2 linked regions of the Oryctolagus cuniculus genome follow. Each later gene encodes a partner of the first gene's protein in a complex. Links are inferred from orthologs where the notes say so. Each region holds a gene or a part of one and is shown on either strand. Other genes may lie near its edges.

Evidence for each region. The genes of interacting proteins can lie anywhere in the genome.
Region 2: the proteins of SCN7A (region 1) and SCN3B are in contact, whole or in part, in a cryo-EM structure (PDB 7TJ9), measured with the Homo sapiens proteins. The link is inferred for Oryctolagus cuniculus from reciprocal best matches to the Homo sapiens genes SCN7A and SCN3B. Residues at the interface, in NP_002967.2 of Homo sapiens: Arg269, Glu293, Tyr296, Leu298, Glu299, Leu305, Gln315, Cys316, Pro317, Glu318, Gly319, Tyr320, Asn922, Ile923, Thr926, Cys927, Lys929, Ile930, Phe939, Ile956, Tyr957, Asp959, Gln960, Ile966, Tyr970, Met973, Ile974, Tyr977, Ile978, Leu981; in NP_001035241.1 of Homo sapiens: Val25, Cys26, Val27, Glu28, Val29, Arg44, Ile46, Lys50, Arg51, Glu52, Glu53, Val54, Asn95, Gly96, Ser97, Asp99, Gln101, Asp102, Phe126, Phe128, Ala130, His131, Pro133, Val135, Thr154, Ser155, Ser158, Glu159, Met162, Leu165.

Annotation. Positions count from the first base shown.
Region 1 is NC_091434.1:74,877,214-74,885,453, reverse strand, and holds the start of SCN7A (sodium channel protein type 7 subunit alpha), read right to left. Parts: upstream 5,189-8,240; 5' UTR 4,904-5,188; intron 4,795-4,903; 5' UTR 4,670-4,794; intron 1-4,669. UniProt on the Homo sapiens protein: Sodium leak channel functioning as an osmosensor regulating sodium ion levels in various tissues and organs. While most sodium channels are voltage-gated, SCN7A is not and lets sodium flow through membrane along its concentration gradient.
Region 2 is NC_091432.1:116,010,825-116,018,466, forward strand, and holds part of SCN3B (sodium channel regulatory subunit beta-3), read right to left. Parts: intron 2,789-7,642; coding exon 2,625-2,788; intron 928-2,624; coding exon 702-927; intron 1-701. UniProt on the Homo sapiens protein: Regulatory subunit of multiple voltage-gated sodium (Nav) channels directly mediating the depolarization of excitable membranes.

The DNA.
Region 1 (8,240 bases):
TTGCCACCATACTGTGCCATATATCACTACCCGAAACATGGTATACTTTGACCAACATTTCCCTTTCCCTCATCTACGCCTCTTCTCTGAGCTTCCAGTAACTTCCATTCTCCTCTCTACTTCTGCGTTTAGCTTTGGAAGTTTCCACATGAATGAGATCATACAGCCCAGCTGATCCAGTCCTCTGTGTCTGTGGGTTCTGCATTCATGGATTTCATCAAATGTGGTTCAGAATTATGCAGAAAAAAATGCATTTGTACTGATCATATATTTATTTTCTTGTCAATATCCCCTAAAGATACAATATACGAACTCTGTAGCACTTATATTGTGTAAGGTATTATAAATAACCTAGAGAGGATTTAAAGTATAAAGGAGATATGCAAAAGGTTAAATAAAAATATCACATCATTTCATATAAAAGGATTTGAACATTCTCAGATTGTGGTATATAGTGGGGGTCCTGGAATTAACCCTCCAGAGGTACTGAACAGCTGTATTTGTCTTTTTATCACTTAGCATAATGTCCTCCAGAATCATCAACATTGTCACAATAAGTGTTTATTCAAATAAATTGAAGTCAGTACACCAAAGAGATATGCAAGTTCATTGCAGCATTATTTATAACAGCTAGATATGGAACCAACCTAAGCTTCAATCAGTGAATGAACCTAGAGACCATCATGCTAAGTGAAAACAAAAAACAATCATTTTTTTCTTCATCTTAAAAAAGAATAATTTTTGTTTTTGTGATGTTATTTGTTTTGGTTGTGATTCTTAAGAATTTAAATTTAGGCTTCTACCCTGAATTAAATAACCAGGATATCACCTAGTATGTAAATAAGCACCAGCAAAAACCAAGGAGACATGTCCCCTCTCTTCTCAAAGTGAAAAGTCCTCTTTGGAGAAACAAACTCCCTGCAAAGTGTAATAAATTTAGATTCTAGCAATGGTTCATGACAATCAGGAGCTGAGGTCTTTGCCAGTGACTCCTTTTCAGGGAGGATGAGTGCAATCATGCACATTCAGAAAGGCACAGTCAATCTATACTCCTTACTAGAAGAGTGGACAGACACATGACAAAGTCGGAGACCAGCACCCATCTCAAAGTCACACGCAAGAATGATTTCAAGGAAAGTTCAGTGAAAATGTGGAGGCTTGGAGAGGATACACAGGACATTAATACTTGGTAGAAGATGCAGTCTCACTACGGTGAGCCATTGTGACTGACCAGACAGCAGAGACAGGGAAGGGTCCCAGAAACGAAAAAGAAAACTTCTTTGTTTTCAATACATTAATTTCAGCTTCCCTATGAAACTCCATGGTTCACTAACAGGGTTCCTTGTTCTGTGATATGATGGAAACTTCCACGTTGTGCATGTCCAGTACACAAAACAAGCATGTTGGGGAAAAGTCAGAATCTCTCTGTTCGTTCAAGCTAACTATTCTTATGACCCTTGTCAGTCAGACCCTTGTCAGCCAGAAGCCAAGAGAAGCCAGAGCTCAAAAGAGAGGAATCCACTGTTGCCCCTATTTGTGTCACGCAAAGGAGATTCTGTCATGAATGTAACTTGGATACTCACCAGCATCACAAGAGCTTTTTTGATCTATAGTTTTAGATGCCACTGGATCTACAAAACACATCTTTTCAAATTTTTTTTTTTTTTTTTTTTTTTTTTTTTTTTTACTTATGATTCTTCCAACATTTATTTTCACAAAAGTAACAAAAACACACACAAGGAGGAAAAAAGTTACCCATAGGATACAAAAGTACCAGCTTTCTTATATTTACTGGAATCCTGGAGACCTCTTACAGAGTCTGTATGCTTTTCCAGGAATCCCCCCCTCCCAGAAACCACTCTCAAATATGGACCCAAATGTACAAACCCACACCTTAAATGGGAGTGCAACTAGAGAGAAAATCGCAATATAATAGAGTGAACATGACTCTGAGTGTCAAAAATAGGGCTCTGGGGTCCAGGGAAGAGAGCAGATAGGGATTGGAGACAAAATTAGAACCAGTAATCTGGTGCTTAGAGCATGAAGCCTCTGGGAAAACTCAGAGAATGAGAGGTTGGTGGTCTGGGAGGTTTGCTCTACTGTTTAAAGCAGAAAGGATGTAATATAGTACTCAACACAACATTTAATCAGGGGACAGCGGTCCCTAAATCAGTATCATCTGCTATTGTAGTTTAAAATCCATCCCAATCTCAGACATTTCTGTCAAAATTTCTATCTGAGAGGCTTCAGTTTCAGTGTTTCTGTCAAGCTCTTTGATGCTGATGCAACCAGACAAGTATGTGATTTGCACTACATTCAGAGGTATCCTGTCCACACAGCTAGTGATCCTAAGCCAACACCAGGCCAACTCAACCCAGTTAGAGAGACCACACAGACAATAGGGATGTCATTATCTAGGGCTATTATAATGGAGTGTACCAAGATGGAGCCAGGTTTTTTAAAAGAGTAATTAAACAAATGCATGGAAATCACAATTTTAGCTGGGTCAGGAGATATGCATGAGCTGAAAAATTCTCCTAAAAGCTTTTGGATAAAAACTTTTCCTTTTACTTCAGAGGCTCCCTCTTTGACTGTTACTAAGATGAGATATACTTACCTGACATTGGTTAACCCACACTAATAGAAGGGGATCAAGGCAGAGAAAACTAAGTCCCATGTGACCATAGGTGACTGAGCACCACTGACAGCTGGTGGAGGTGGGCAAGGGTTACGGACATCTCTGTCACAAATAGCTCAAACTGCTATAGCCTATTGGGACAAAATGGGATCAGGCTCCCAGAAACCAAAGAGTGTCCCTTTTAGACGAATGCTTCCATAACCAACTCTTAAGAGAGGGTCCAACATGGTAGTAGAGAGATCTAGGTTCGTCTCTGATTGCCCAGTTATGATGCAAATGTTATGCCAGAGAAATCTGGAACTAGGTTGTATTAGGACAGTTCTTTCCTAAGTGAGGGATTGAGGAAAATACAGTTGTTTTTTTAACTGTTTGTTTCTAGGACGCATAGCCATGTATTCATTCTACTTGGGCAAAATCAATGAGAATATATGTCAACTACCTTTCCAAAATTTCTACTGCATTAGACTATGGAGACAATGCCCAGTTCCTAATTCTTTGCTCTATCTTCAGTTCTCCAATGGAGACTGATTCAGCAGCAGGTCCAGGGGCCCAACTGTGTTATCTGGGATCTACTGGGCCCTTTTCCAGAGCCTATGTCCATCTTAAGGTCTTTCTTCCACCACTTTAAACATGTCCATGGAAAACAATGGACTCACTCTACCTCTTTCCTGAGTGCAATATTTTAAGAAACCTCTGCAGTTAAGAGTATTTATGACTAAATTTTGATTTCTCCTATTATTAATTTGCAGAACAAATAAATTATGCAATATCCAACATACTTAATAATTTCATTCCCAAGAAGTGGAACCCCACACACACCCCTAAAACAACATTTAAAAAGACAAAGGAGGCAAAGCATATTTGGACAATTTACAAGAATGTTTGAATATGAGTGTCTAGCCATGGCGCATCCTTTTTAAGAATGGAGGTTAAAATATACTTTAAATTGTACAGCTGGCAAAAAATAAACTTGAATTTGACTTCCTCTTGGTTATTCTAGAGAAGCATAGGAAAGCCTTCTTTATTCTCATATTGAATTTGATTTAACATGCAAACCAGAATGGTAGATAGAAACTGAGTTATTCCTTAATGCAACCAACAGTTATACATGATATTTCTTTCACAAAACATTTCATGTAATATCTGTCAGTTAATCCTTAGAATTTTTTAATATATCATGTACAGATAAGAAAAACAAAGCTTCATCAACTGAAGCAGTTTACTTCATCTGCACACAAATGGAAATCAAGTATTACAATTCTAAATTCCAAAGTCTCTTTCATTGTATTTCCAGCTCATTTGTTGATTAGCCTGGTAACCTCACCAAATGACTTCATATAAACCTTATGTTTCTTATTTGTAGAATTAGTAGCTAGATTATGAAACCTTTGGTCATAGCAAGTTTGCTACCCAGGACTCAGTTTATTACAGACTCTCCTCTCCTTCAGCTTTGCCATAATCTACTCTCTTGAACGATAATCAGGAGGAACCTCTCAAAAAGCAATGCCAAATGCCTTTCATTTCAAGATATTTTTCTGACCAATATCCACACTTGATTCCATCATTTCCATTAATGAAGGGCCTTCAATCTATTATTCACATGGATTCATCATTTGTTCTCTTTTCATCAATGTCTCAAGTATTGGAGGTAACATAACTAGAGTCACATCATCACTTCTAAAACAAAACCTCCAGAAGGTATGCATTTTCACAGTTTAAAAAAACAGGAAAAAGAAAAACCAAATCCTCACTGCCCTATTGCTGCAAACAATACCTATGACTACCTGTTTAAACTGAGCATTTCCAATGATATCGATGCCTCTACTTTTACATTGGCAATTCTTACGTGAAAAGCACTGACCTTGAAATCACTAAAGTACTTAGAATGAAAGAAGAAATCCATTGGAAAAAGCATACTTCATTTTGCTTAACCTTTCATTCCTTCTACACTATCTTTGTGTCACATAATACAAGTCATATAAGGTTTCTAGAAATAGTATACTCAGAGAGAATCTTGGTTTAGCAGCTTACCTGGTGGGATGAGATAACTGACCGCACACTCAGCATAGAGCAAACCCCACAGACCACTGCTGCTCTCAGAATAGCTCTCTTAACTCATACCCAGAGTCTTCAACTTCCATCCTCCTGTGGGGACCCTAAGGGTGTGCAGGGGGTGGGGCAGATTGGGGGGTGGGAAAGGCAGGCCGCAGATGGTGCCTATCACTTTCCTGGGGCTGGGCGTGACAGCAAGAAAAAGGCACTTACTTGCTACCAAATGACAGGTCGCCACCAGCACCTAAGGGACCCCTGAGAAGCAGGGCTCCTTGGAGCTCTGGCCTCCTCCTGGGCTTCCCTCTCTTCACAGATCCCTCTGGTTTCCTGAGTTCTGATTGCTTAGAAGGTGTTGCTCGGCAGGCAGGCGTCTGCTCCCTACAGGGGCTAACACTCAGGCCACAGCTGAGCCCCACTGAATTACCAGCTGCAAAACCAGTCACCGGGTGGCTTCCCAAGACTGACCCCAGACCCGCTGCCCAGATGCCAAGTGGAGCCGCGCCCGCCGCTTGAAAGCTGTTTTTGTCTCCTTCCCACGTCCCCCCTCCCCTCTCCCAGCCACGCCACTCTCTCCCCCGCCCTCATCCCCAGGCCAGTGCGAGACTTCAGCCCGGATCGGGCGTGGGCGGGGAGATCTTGATGGGATCCGCTGCGGAGGCAATAGCAGCGGCAGCTGTGGCGTCTGCTCTACCTACCTGGACGAGGAGGGGCGAGAGATTCGGGGATTGGTGAGGAGGAGGGAGCTGAGATAACACTAGGAGGGTTTACGGTAATTAAGAGAAAAGCCATAGAAGAGCCGGCTGCGGTTAAATTGGGGAGGTGGGTAATGAAAAGCATGGTGAGGAGAGGGGAAGAGAGGAAGGCAGCACAGTTAGGCTCTGTATCTGCAGTTGTTTCTCTCTCGCCTTGCCTCGCTACCCCTCTGCAGCTTACAGGGGCAATTGTCAACGTGCAACATCGCAATCTGGACAGGGCTGTGATGACTGTGTGCTGTTGTGTGTGCAGGTGTGTAGCTGTTAAGGAAGAGACAGCTAGAGCTACTATAATCTCCTACCTCCAGATTTCTTTCCTACTCTGGTGATTTGAAACACAAGAGATAGAGGAAAAATTGTGCATACTTTTAAAACCTGGGGAACTACAGTGTAGTTTTGTAGGAGAAGGGAAGAGGGGTGCTGGGTCTTTTCCAAAAAGGAGTTTGGAAAAATTGTTGCCACACCACAGAACATTCATTCTCTAACCCTTTTATCAGACAGCACGTTATTTAATCCAAAAATCAGCATATCTATAAATAACAAGAAGTTTTAAAGCATTTAATCCAATACCATCCTTACACTTAAAAAAATCAGGAATGATTATTTTGCAGAATCAAGCACCCACTCGTGTTCTTTTTCTCTCTTCAGGCTTTTTATTTTTACCTTCACTTTTCAAAGGTCTTTTTAAATTTTATTTAAGGTATACAAAAAAGTATTCCACAACGTATAGTTTTCCAGCTTCACTTCTCCACACTGTGATGACGATGCAAGCATATTTTGTAGTGTGTTAGGACATTCCCCTGAAGCAATCATAACGAAGCATACTTTCTGAACTACTAAAATTCTATGCTCCTGGCAGTAAATTCAAATATAATATGAACTTTAGAAACTTAGCAATACTCATACAAAAAGCTTCAGTAAGGTATTTGGAAATAAGTAAAGAGAAGCATTGCTTTCTATGATGTGTAACACTGGCAGTCCCTCATAAGGTATTGCACAAAACAAGAGGCAAACACAAGGGAAACCAATGTAATGAGTCTCTAGTCTACGTTCAGCAACATTTCTGTTGTTCTGGAACAAATATTTTGCTATTACTGTTGGGTGACACTGCTGGGCTAGATCTGAAATATCTTGGTAATGTTTCTGCTCCTAGTAGTGAACTGAGAAACATAATCTCTTTCCTCCTCCTGCACTATCCAGCCCACTGAATTTCTCAGCCAAGAGAAGTGGTGGTTAGAGAGGCCCGTTTTCCACTCTTTTACCTTAAGAAACTTACAATCGTGTGTTCCATGTGCTTCTTAAGGGTATTCAGAAAAAAATGGAAGCTCTAAACCCCCATTCTCTGCCTTTTCAGGAGAAATCGCTATTTCTAACTAAACCTGAGCCAGTTGGCTTCCTGGGTTCATTACTTTCCTTGTAGCCTATTTAAATGCGGTTGTTTAATTCTAACCACACAGGTGTTACTGCAGGAAAGTACATGGACCTGGTGGTTTCATTCTCAATCCACATGAATACATCAGGGTTTACAAAACAATCTATTAAAAAAAAAAAAAAGACAAGAAAACAAGTGTTCCCAAACCTAAAAAAAATTTAAAAAATCAAATCTGCCTTTGAGTGAAAATATGTCCTCCAGCTCTACCATCCTTTTCCTTTTCTGATCATAATAATCTTCTGACTCTATGACTTTATTATTTATTAAAAATTTATTTTTTGGTTGGCAGTCTTCCCCTCCGTCTGAACTCTTGCTGTCATTCTTAATAACTCTTCATCTATTTGAATACAAGGAACATTGTATGAAACATCCAATGTCCAAAGCCCTAATAAATTACATTTTCTCCATGCTACTTAACTATTAATTTCCACACTCACACTTTGAATCTTGTCATAGTTAGCAACTGCTTTGTCTTTCTCTATACTGCTGATCTGTTGCACTAAATATCTATTGCTTATTTGTTTATTTTTTCTTGTTCCACTAAGATGCATACTGCTTGACAGCTAGCACTTGTTTATTCCACACTGCCCAGTGGTGCTTAGAACAGAGGGTGTAAAGTATTAGCTACACAGTAAATTTGCTAAAGGAATTGTCACCAAGTGTACCTAGTCAATGTGAGCTTCCAGGAAGAATGAGGTGATTCACTTTAGGATCTGGCCATAGTTCACAGTAATGTGAAGAACATAAGAATTTTTTTTTTTTTTTTTGACAGGCAGAGTGGACAGTGAGAGAGAGAGACAGAGAGAAAGGTATTCCTTGTCCGTTGGTTCACTCCCCAATGGCCGCTGTGGCCGGCGTGCTGCAGCCTGCACACCGCACTGATCCAATGCCAGGAGCCAGGTGCTTCTCCTGGTCTCCCATGTAGGTGCAGGGCCCAAGGACTTGGGCCATTCTCCACTGCACTACCGGGCCACAGCAGAGAGCTGGACTGGAAGAGGGGCAACCGGGACAGAAACCGGCGCCCTGACCGGGACTAGAACCCGGGATTCCGGTGCCGCAGGCGGAGGATTATCCTATTGAGCCGTGGCACCAGCCAAAGAATTGTATTTTGATTTTGTTCTTTTTAATCTCTGATACTTAAATATGTTAATGCTTTTTAAATAAGTAAATATGACAACTTCCCCTGGCTGCAGAATCTTGATACAAAGTACAGGCCTGCCTGAAAAGAAACAACAAAAATAAAAAAGTCAAATTTATTCATGGTGAATACAAAGAGACTCAGAGAAAGAAAGCACTCAACATCAAAAAGATGTGTATTTTATAATAGCCATTCCAACAGGTGTGAGGTACACTCATTATATCATTA
Region 2 (7,642 bases), on another chromosome or scaffold:
TTCTGGACTCAAGACTGCAACAGAAATCTTTGAGTAGGCTGCTGAAAGAACTTCCCACTCACTAACAAGGAACTAGTGTGGGAGCTTGAGGATTTTAAATTAAGAACTTGAGAGCTATTACTTGTTCCCTGCTCCCAGCCAAGAGTGTAAGGCGAGAGGCCACAGTAAGGAAGGTGTTGCAGCGGTGGTGACAGACACTGGAGAGTGGCTCTCACTGGATGGCTCCTGTGGCCTCAGCATCACCTGGCATTTCGTAAACAAGGCAACACTCGTGGGCTCCACTTGCAGAAGCAGAGTCTGCATCCACAAAGCCCTGCTGGAGATTCTGAGGCTGGCTGAAGTTAGAGATCCAGTGATTTCCACGGGAGGAGAGATGACCTGTAGCTAACCTCGTGAGATCTCCCTGAGCCCACTGAGTCAGGGACACAACACAGGCCAGAGAAGAAGTGGGAGTTGAATCAGTATCTGGGGGTTCCCTTCTCTGTACGGACCAGGAAGAGATCATTCTGTCATCTCCAAGCTTTCCTGCTTTCAGGAGAGGCAGACTTTGACCAGATAAATTGATCAGACAGCTTGCAGGAAGCTGGCTAAAAACACAAGCTTTTGCATTCTTCAAAGGCCTCGCTTGTGTGGAAACCCACAGCCCTCCTGCCCCACTCCAGTGAGTCCCACAGAGCAGGGCACTCTAGCCTCAGCCTCACCCTCCTCGGTGACTCGGAGGGGAATCAGCCGCGTCGTCTTCACGAAGGGCCGGTGCGCCTCAAACTCAAACTCTCGGGACACGTTACAGGTGTAGAGGCCGGAGTCATTCAGAGTGACATTGAGCACGGTGATGGACACATCCTGCAGGTCCTTGCTCCCGTTCCACTGCAGGCGCCCCTGGAAGGGGCTCTCCACCTCCTGGTGGCCATTTCGGTACTCGTAGATCTGCAGGTACAGAGACAGAAGAGGATAGGGCCCAGAGAGGAGATAGAGTAGGACAGCAAGATGGGAATGGGGTAGAGAAGAATCGCAGGTGGTTAGGAAAGAGAGAGGACGCACCAGGAGACCTAGAATTTTTTGTTGGGGGAGGATGAGGAGATGCAAAGGGCAGGAGAGAACAAAGATGGAGAAAGATGGGCAGTGGGGCTGGCATTGTGGCATGGCAGGTTAGGCTACGCCTGTGGTGCTGGCATCCCATACAGGTGCCGGTTTGCATCCTGACTGCTCTACCTCTGATCCAGCTCCCTGCTAATGCACCTGGGAAAGCAGCAGAAGATGGCCCAAGTGCTTGGACCCTTGTACCCATGTGGGAGACCTGGATGGAGTTCCAGGCTCTTGGCTTCAGCCTGACCCCAGCCATTGTGGCTACTTGGAGAGTGAACCAGCAGGTGCAAGATTCTCACTCTCTTTCTTTCTCTGTCTTTCTCTCTCTGTCTCTCTCTCTCTCTCTCTCTCTCTGTTTCCCTGTCCTCCTACCTTTCAAATAAATAAAATAAATCTTGGGGGGAAAAAAGGAACGAGTTCAGCTTTAGGAAAGCAAGAAACAGGAGCTAGCAAAAGCCAGTTCCACCCAGGGCTGTCTCCATTAAAAATCTTTGTGCAAGAGAACCTGGCCCCAGAACAACAACGTGGTGTAATAAAAAGTGCCTTGTAACTGCTGTCAAATGCGAACTCTCTCTTACCTAACTTCCTGAGCCTCAGTTTCCCCACTTCTGTGTATATATCATTTCTCCGGGAAACAATACAGTGTTTCCTCGTATTCCAGGAAGTACTTTCTACTAACCCAGAAAATCAGAGCTCATGAGTCCTGGTAACAACCTATAAGGTAGCTATGTCACATACCCCATTTTTAAAACCAGGAAACAGGCAGAGAGAGGTTGGGTTGTGTGTTCCAGGGCACAGAGCTAAGAGTGGAATCCAGCCTCAAACCCAGGCACCCTGGCCCCAGAGTCAGTGGAAGAGTAGATAATGGTCACCTCCAAAGTGGGACTACAAACAGATGCTCACCAGCCATCTGTGCCACTGACATTGGCTGTGGCACAGGATCAGAGTTGGGAGGGCTCCCTGCTCTGCCAGAAGTGTGTGTCATGGGGAGGACTAGGGGTTCCTGGTGGGAGGGAGGGTGCTGGGGCCACATGGGAGGTGAGGCACAGCACGGACCCACTGGAGAACGAAGTAAACATTCTGCCCATGGATGCAGCTGGACAGCTGACCATCAGCCTTGGTCATCGCTTTCATCCTTATTTCTGTGTGACCTCAAGGAGCTAACCTGTGTTATTGCATATAACCGTGCTCTGTTTTATTTCAATTCTCCAGGGGATGGTGTGGGGAATTAAATGGAAATACTCGCCAAGTGCCTAGTTTTGTGCCTAGCCACAACCGGCTCTAAATACGGTTTATCTCCTCCTCATCCTTCTTCCTGCTGGTACCCAGGGGTGCTTGAGGCTGGCCAAGTGCCTTTCTCCCTGGTTCAAAGGAGCTGAGCTATACTAAGGCTGTCACTTATCCACTGAGGAGCTGTCAGCACTTGGAAGAAAAAAAAGCCCGAGTGTGCTAAATTGCCATCCCCTAGACTGTCAGGAGTCGGGCACACAACAGCAGAGACCAGCAAAAGAAAGGCCAAAGTCAGCCGGAGGACATACAAGGAAGTCTTTGCCGCCCTCGGGCCTGTAGAACCATTCCACTACCGTGGTGGCCTCCACCTCCTCCCTCTTCATGCAGGAGATGCAGCGCAGCTTCATGGGGGTGCCCTGGACAGCCTCCGTCTCCGAGGGCACTTCCACACACACGGGGAAGCAGACGCTGACTGCAGAGAGGGCGGGTGACAGGGAAGGAGGGGCAGGTGGCAGGGAGGGGCCGGTGAGAGGGGGGCATTGGGAAACGAGGAGAGAGGGAGGAGACAGAGAAGGAAGATCATGAGACAAACTTGAAAATAGCCACGGTCCACATGTCTGCACCTTCACCTGCACTTTCCAAGTGTGTGTGCTCAGAACTGGTGCGGAATGAGGTGGAGGGGACATGGATGGTCCAGACACAGACTGAAAGCCTGGCCCTGGAAGTGGTGGAGATGCAGCAGACGTGGACTTGAGCCCTGTCCTCAAAGGCTGGCAGGGAGAAAGGGCATGCGGGCATCATCTACGATCCATCCACGCCCTCATTCAACAGCCATTCACTGAAGTCCACTCTGTGTCAGGTCTGGTCCTCAACTAAAGATACAAAGATGAACAAAACACTAACCGTGCCCTCACGGCATTAATAACCTAGCAGGGAACACCTAGCCATAACTATGAGTAAGCCAGACCACAGAGCGTGGCATACTACTGGTGATGTGCTCTGTTCCCAGAGGGAGAGCGCTTAGTCACTCCTGGTTGCGCTGCGAGGAAGGCAGAGAGGCATGGGAAGGTGGACAGCACCCACGTTTTGAAGACCACCAGGTGTCCTTCAAAGCTGTGGAGCAGTGTACACATTTGTGTGTTTCATGGATGCTCTGAGTGATTCTGACGTGTGGTGGCAGATGGAGCAGCAGAGAGGAGCAGGGTACCCTGAGCACTAGGTGAAGCAGTGTGCGATGGGAGGAGCAGACTGACAAAGTTAAAAATCTAGAGGGAGGTCAGAACGTGGGCCACCTTGCATGCCACATGCAGATTTAGACTTACAGTCTGTTTTTTTTTTTAAAGTGAGTACATCATATTGCAAATTCAGAATGAATCCAAAGTGGGACACAGCTGCCAAGCAAGCAAGTGCCAGTGTGGGCTGCACTAACAGATGTAGTGTGCAGAAGGGAAGAGGAGCAGCCCGCCTGCACTGTTCAGAACAAATCTGGACTGTCAGGATCTGTTCAGGGTGCACATTTTACAAAAGGAACCTGTTGGATGCGTGCATGCCCAGAGAGCAGCAGGATGATGGGGGCCTGGGGACAAAGGGGAGGACTTGAAGGACTCAGCTCCAACACGGAACTTGTCTGACTTTTACTCTGATTCTGCCCACCTTCAACCGTGCTAAGAAAAAAAATAAGTTTGTTGCAATGAGAAGAGATTTCTGATGTTGCAGCGATTCATAAATGCAAAACTGTACTTGGTAAAAGAGTTTACCCCTCATTGCCTGGAAGATGCAGAGGTAAGACAACCACAAGCATTGTCATATAGGGACATTGAAGTTCCTTCAGATGCTCCCTTTGCATGAGTTAATAATAAAAGCAGAGTCCCTGAAGTATAACAAATGAAAACAATACTCACTGATATTTTAAAACTAGTCCACTGTTGGTGGTGAGACAGAGAATACAGAGAACCCTTTTCTAAAAACAGAAGAGGGACGATGTTTATGATGCAGTAGATTAAGCTGTTTGCAGTGCTGGCTTCTCAGAGTACCAGTGTGAATCCTGGCTACTCTGCTTCCAATCCAGATTCCTGCTAATCTGCCTGAGAAGGTAGCAGAAGATGGCTCAAGTACCTGGGTCCCTGTCACTCACGTGGGAGACCAGGATGGAGTTCCTGGCTCCTGGATTCAGCTGGACCAAACCTGACTGTGGCAGCCATTTGGGAAGAGAACCAGCAGAATTTAAGACCTCTTCCTCTCTTTATCTCTCCCCTTCTCTCTATCCCTCTGCATTTCCATCTTTTAAAAAAGAGATTTATTTATTTATTTGAAAGAGTTACACAAAGAGAGAAGGAGAGGTGTGTGTGTTGGGGGGGTCTTCCATCCGCTGGTTTACTCCCCAATTGGCTGCAACAGCCAGAGCTGTGCCGATCTGAAGCCAGGAGCTTCTTCCAGGCCAAAGGACCTGGGCCATCTTCTACTGCTTTCCCAGGCTATAGCAGAGAGCTGGATTGAAAGTGGAGCAGCCGGGACTCCAATTGGCACCCATATGAGATGCTGGCACTGGAGGCAGTGGCTTTACTCACTATACCACAGTGCCGGCCCCAAATAAATCTTTTTTTAAAAAAAGCACAGAAAAGCTTTTTTTAGAGCTTAAAATGAAACTGGTATAAACTAATTTTGAATCAAAAAATTAAATATTGTGTTTGACTAGAAGGAAACAAATTTCATTTTTAAACATAGAGTTAAAATCAGCAGCACTATAATTAACTTAAAGTTTAAAAAACTCAAAGCAAAGTAATATTAATTGTATTTGAAACTCTCAAGAAATTCAAGGCAGTGTTATCTGGCCATCTGGTCATCACTTGCATGGACAGAGGGTCCACACTGGGATAAGTGAGCAGAAGCATCTTCAGGGGCCAGCACTGTGGTGCAGTGGGTTAAAGCCCTGGCCTGAAGCACCAGCATCCCATAAGGGTGCCAGTTCTAGTCCCGGCTGCTCCTCTTCTGATCCAGCTCTCTGCTATGGCCTGGGAAAGCAGTAGAAGATGACCCAAGCATTTGGGCCCCTGCACCCACATGGGAGACCTGGAGGAAGCTCCTGGCTCCTGGCTTTGGATCGGTGCAGCTCCGGTTGTTGCGGCCATCTGGGGAGTGAACAAGCAGATAGAAGACCTCTCGCTCTCTCTCTCTTTCTCTCTCTGTAACTCTTTCAAATAAATAAAAATAAAATCTTTAAAAAAAAAGCATCTTCAGCATCTAATGAGTTTGAAGTCTTGAATATAGAATGATTTTTTTCTTTTAAAATAGAGGTATGGTTTTTGTACAAGTTTGTGAGTGGACAGAGGGGCAGAAGGCACGCAGCCAGAACACTGCAGCATGCAACCCTGGGTGCACTCACATTGAATGAGCGGTGGTAAAGATGACAGATTTCGTTGGTGACCTCAGGAGCCGAATAGGAAAAATCCCAAGGAACATCCAGTTATAGTGATAGAGGCTGCAGGAAGATGGGTTACTGCCACTGAATGACTGGGTTTGGTCTATGACTTCACACCTCTTAAGATTCAACTTTTCATGAACAAGAAGCTGAAAATAACCTCTATCTGTCAGGAGAATTCTACACATTAACTTATGTAAATGTGCTCTGTAGAAATGTCATTCATGAATGCTTTTTAATCCTTCATTTCTTTGACAAATATGTCCAGTACCAGGCGTTGTTCTCGGCACTGAGGACACAACAGGAACCAAACAGAACCATCCCTGCTCTCATGCAGGTTACATTCCACTGCGGGGGGGGGGGGGCATAAATAAACATTGGTTCAGTGCTATAAGAAAAAATACAATGGGGGAGACGAGAGAGAAAGCACATGAAGCCGCTGGGGATGGCCCCAGGGAGAGAGTAACACTGAGCGGCCACTGAAGGAAAGAAGGAAGGCAAGACATTGTAGGGGTATCTGTGCCATAGGAAATGGTAGCTCCAGAGCACACGGGTCCCAAGGTGTGTGTCTGTCATGCTTGAAAGCCAAGAAAGAACCCACGGTGCGAAGCATGGTGGACCAAGCAGGAATAAAAGGGAAGCAAGCAGGAGAGGATGTCAGGGGCCTAATCACGGCAGCTCTTGCAGCCCACGGTTAATTTGAATGCTGGTTCTTGCTTGGAGCAGTACCAGGAACACCGGAGGCCTCCAAATGCAAGGATGATATGATCTGATTGGTGTAAAATGACACGATGTGACCATTGTTGAGAATCAGCTGGGGAGGTGAAGGGGAACTAGAGTGGGTGCAGAGAGAATGAGCTGGTGCAGTGACAGGAGCCAAGATTTCACTTCATTGAAGATGTGGAACTGTGGGGGTTTGAAAGCGAATCATTTGGGGCCAGTGCTGTGGTGTAGCAGGTAAAGCCGCCGCCTGCAGTGCCGGCATCCCTTATGGGCGCCAGTTCTAGTCTGCTGCTCCATTTCCGATCCAGCTCTCTGCTATGGCCTGGAAAAGCAGTAGAAGATGGCCAAGTCCTTGGGCCCCTGCACTCGCGTGGGAGACCCAGAAGAAGCTCCTGGCTCCTGGCTTCAGATCGGCGCAGCTCTAGCCATTGCAGCCATCTGGGGAGTGAACCATTGGATGGAAGATCTCTCTCTCTCTCTCTCTCTCTCTCTCTCTCTCTCTCTGCCTCTCCTTTTCTGTGTAACTCTGACTTTCAAATAAATAATTGATAAATCTTTAAAGAAAGGGAATCATTTGTTGGATTACCCTCCTTGAGTAGGTGAGAGGTGACATGCTCTCATGAACAAGTAGATAGGGTAGCAGAGACAGGAGCACCTACAGTTAAAGGCGGGGAGGGGGATACATGGAGTCATGATGAACATGTGTCCCTGAGGGGACGGTAATCCAGATACCATCAGGGTGCAAGCTTCCCTGCTCCTGGCTGAAGTCCAGCTTCAAGGCACTCTTCTGGATAATACAATGCAAATGACCACAAAGTCCTCTGTTTGCTTGCCCTTTGCAATATGACTTACTACTCTTTCCATCAGGAGGTGAAGTCTGTTTGTCCACTCATGGAGTCTCCAACCCACCCCTGCCTATGCTCCTATGAGACCCTCTGTGTATCCAGGAGAAGGCTGTGCATAAGTTAGGAATCCACATTGCTGACTATTAATGATAAACTCCTGGAATAATGGCTGAATCATTTGACCTTTGGCCTCCTTTTCAATTTGCATAGTTCTTGCTCTGTCACTCCCCCTCTCTCTCTATAACTCTGCCTTTCAAATAAATATATAAATCTTTTTTTAAAAACTTATGAAAAGAAGAAGATGATGTATTTATGATGATACTATTTAACTAAGGAATAG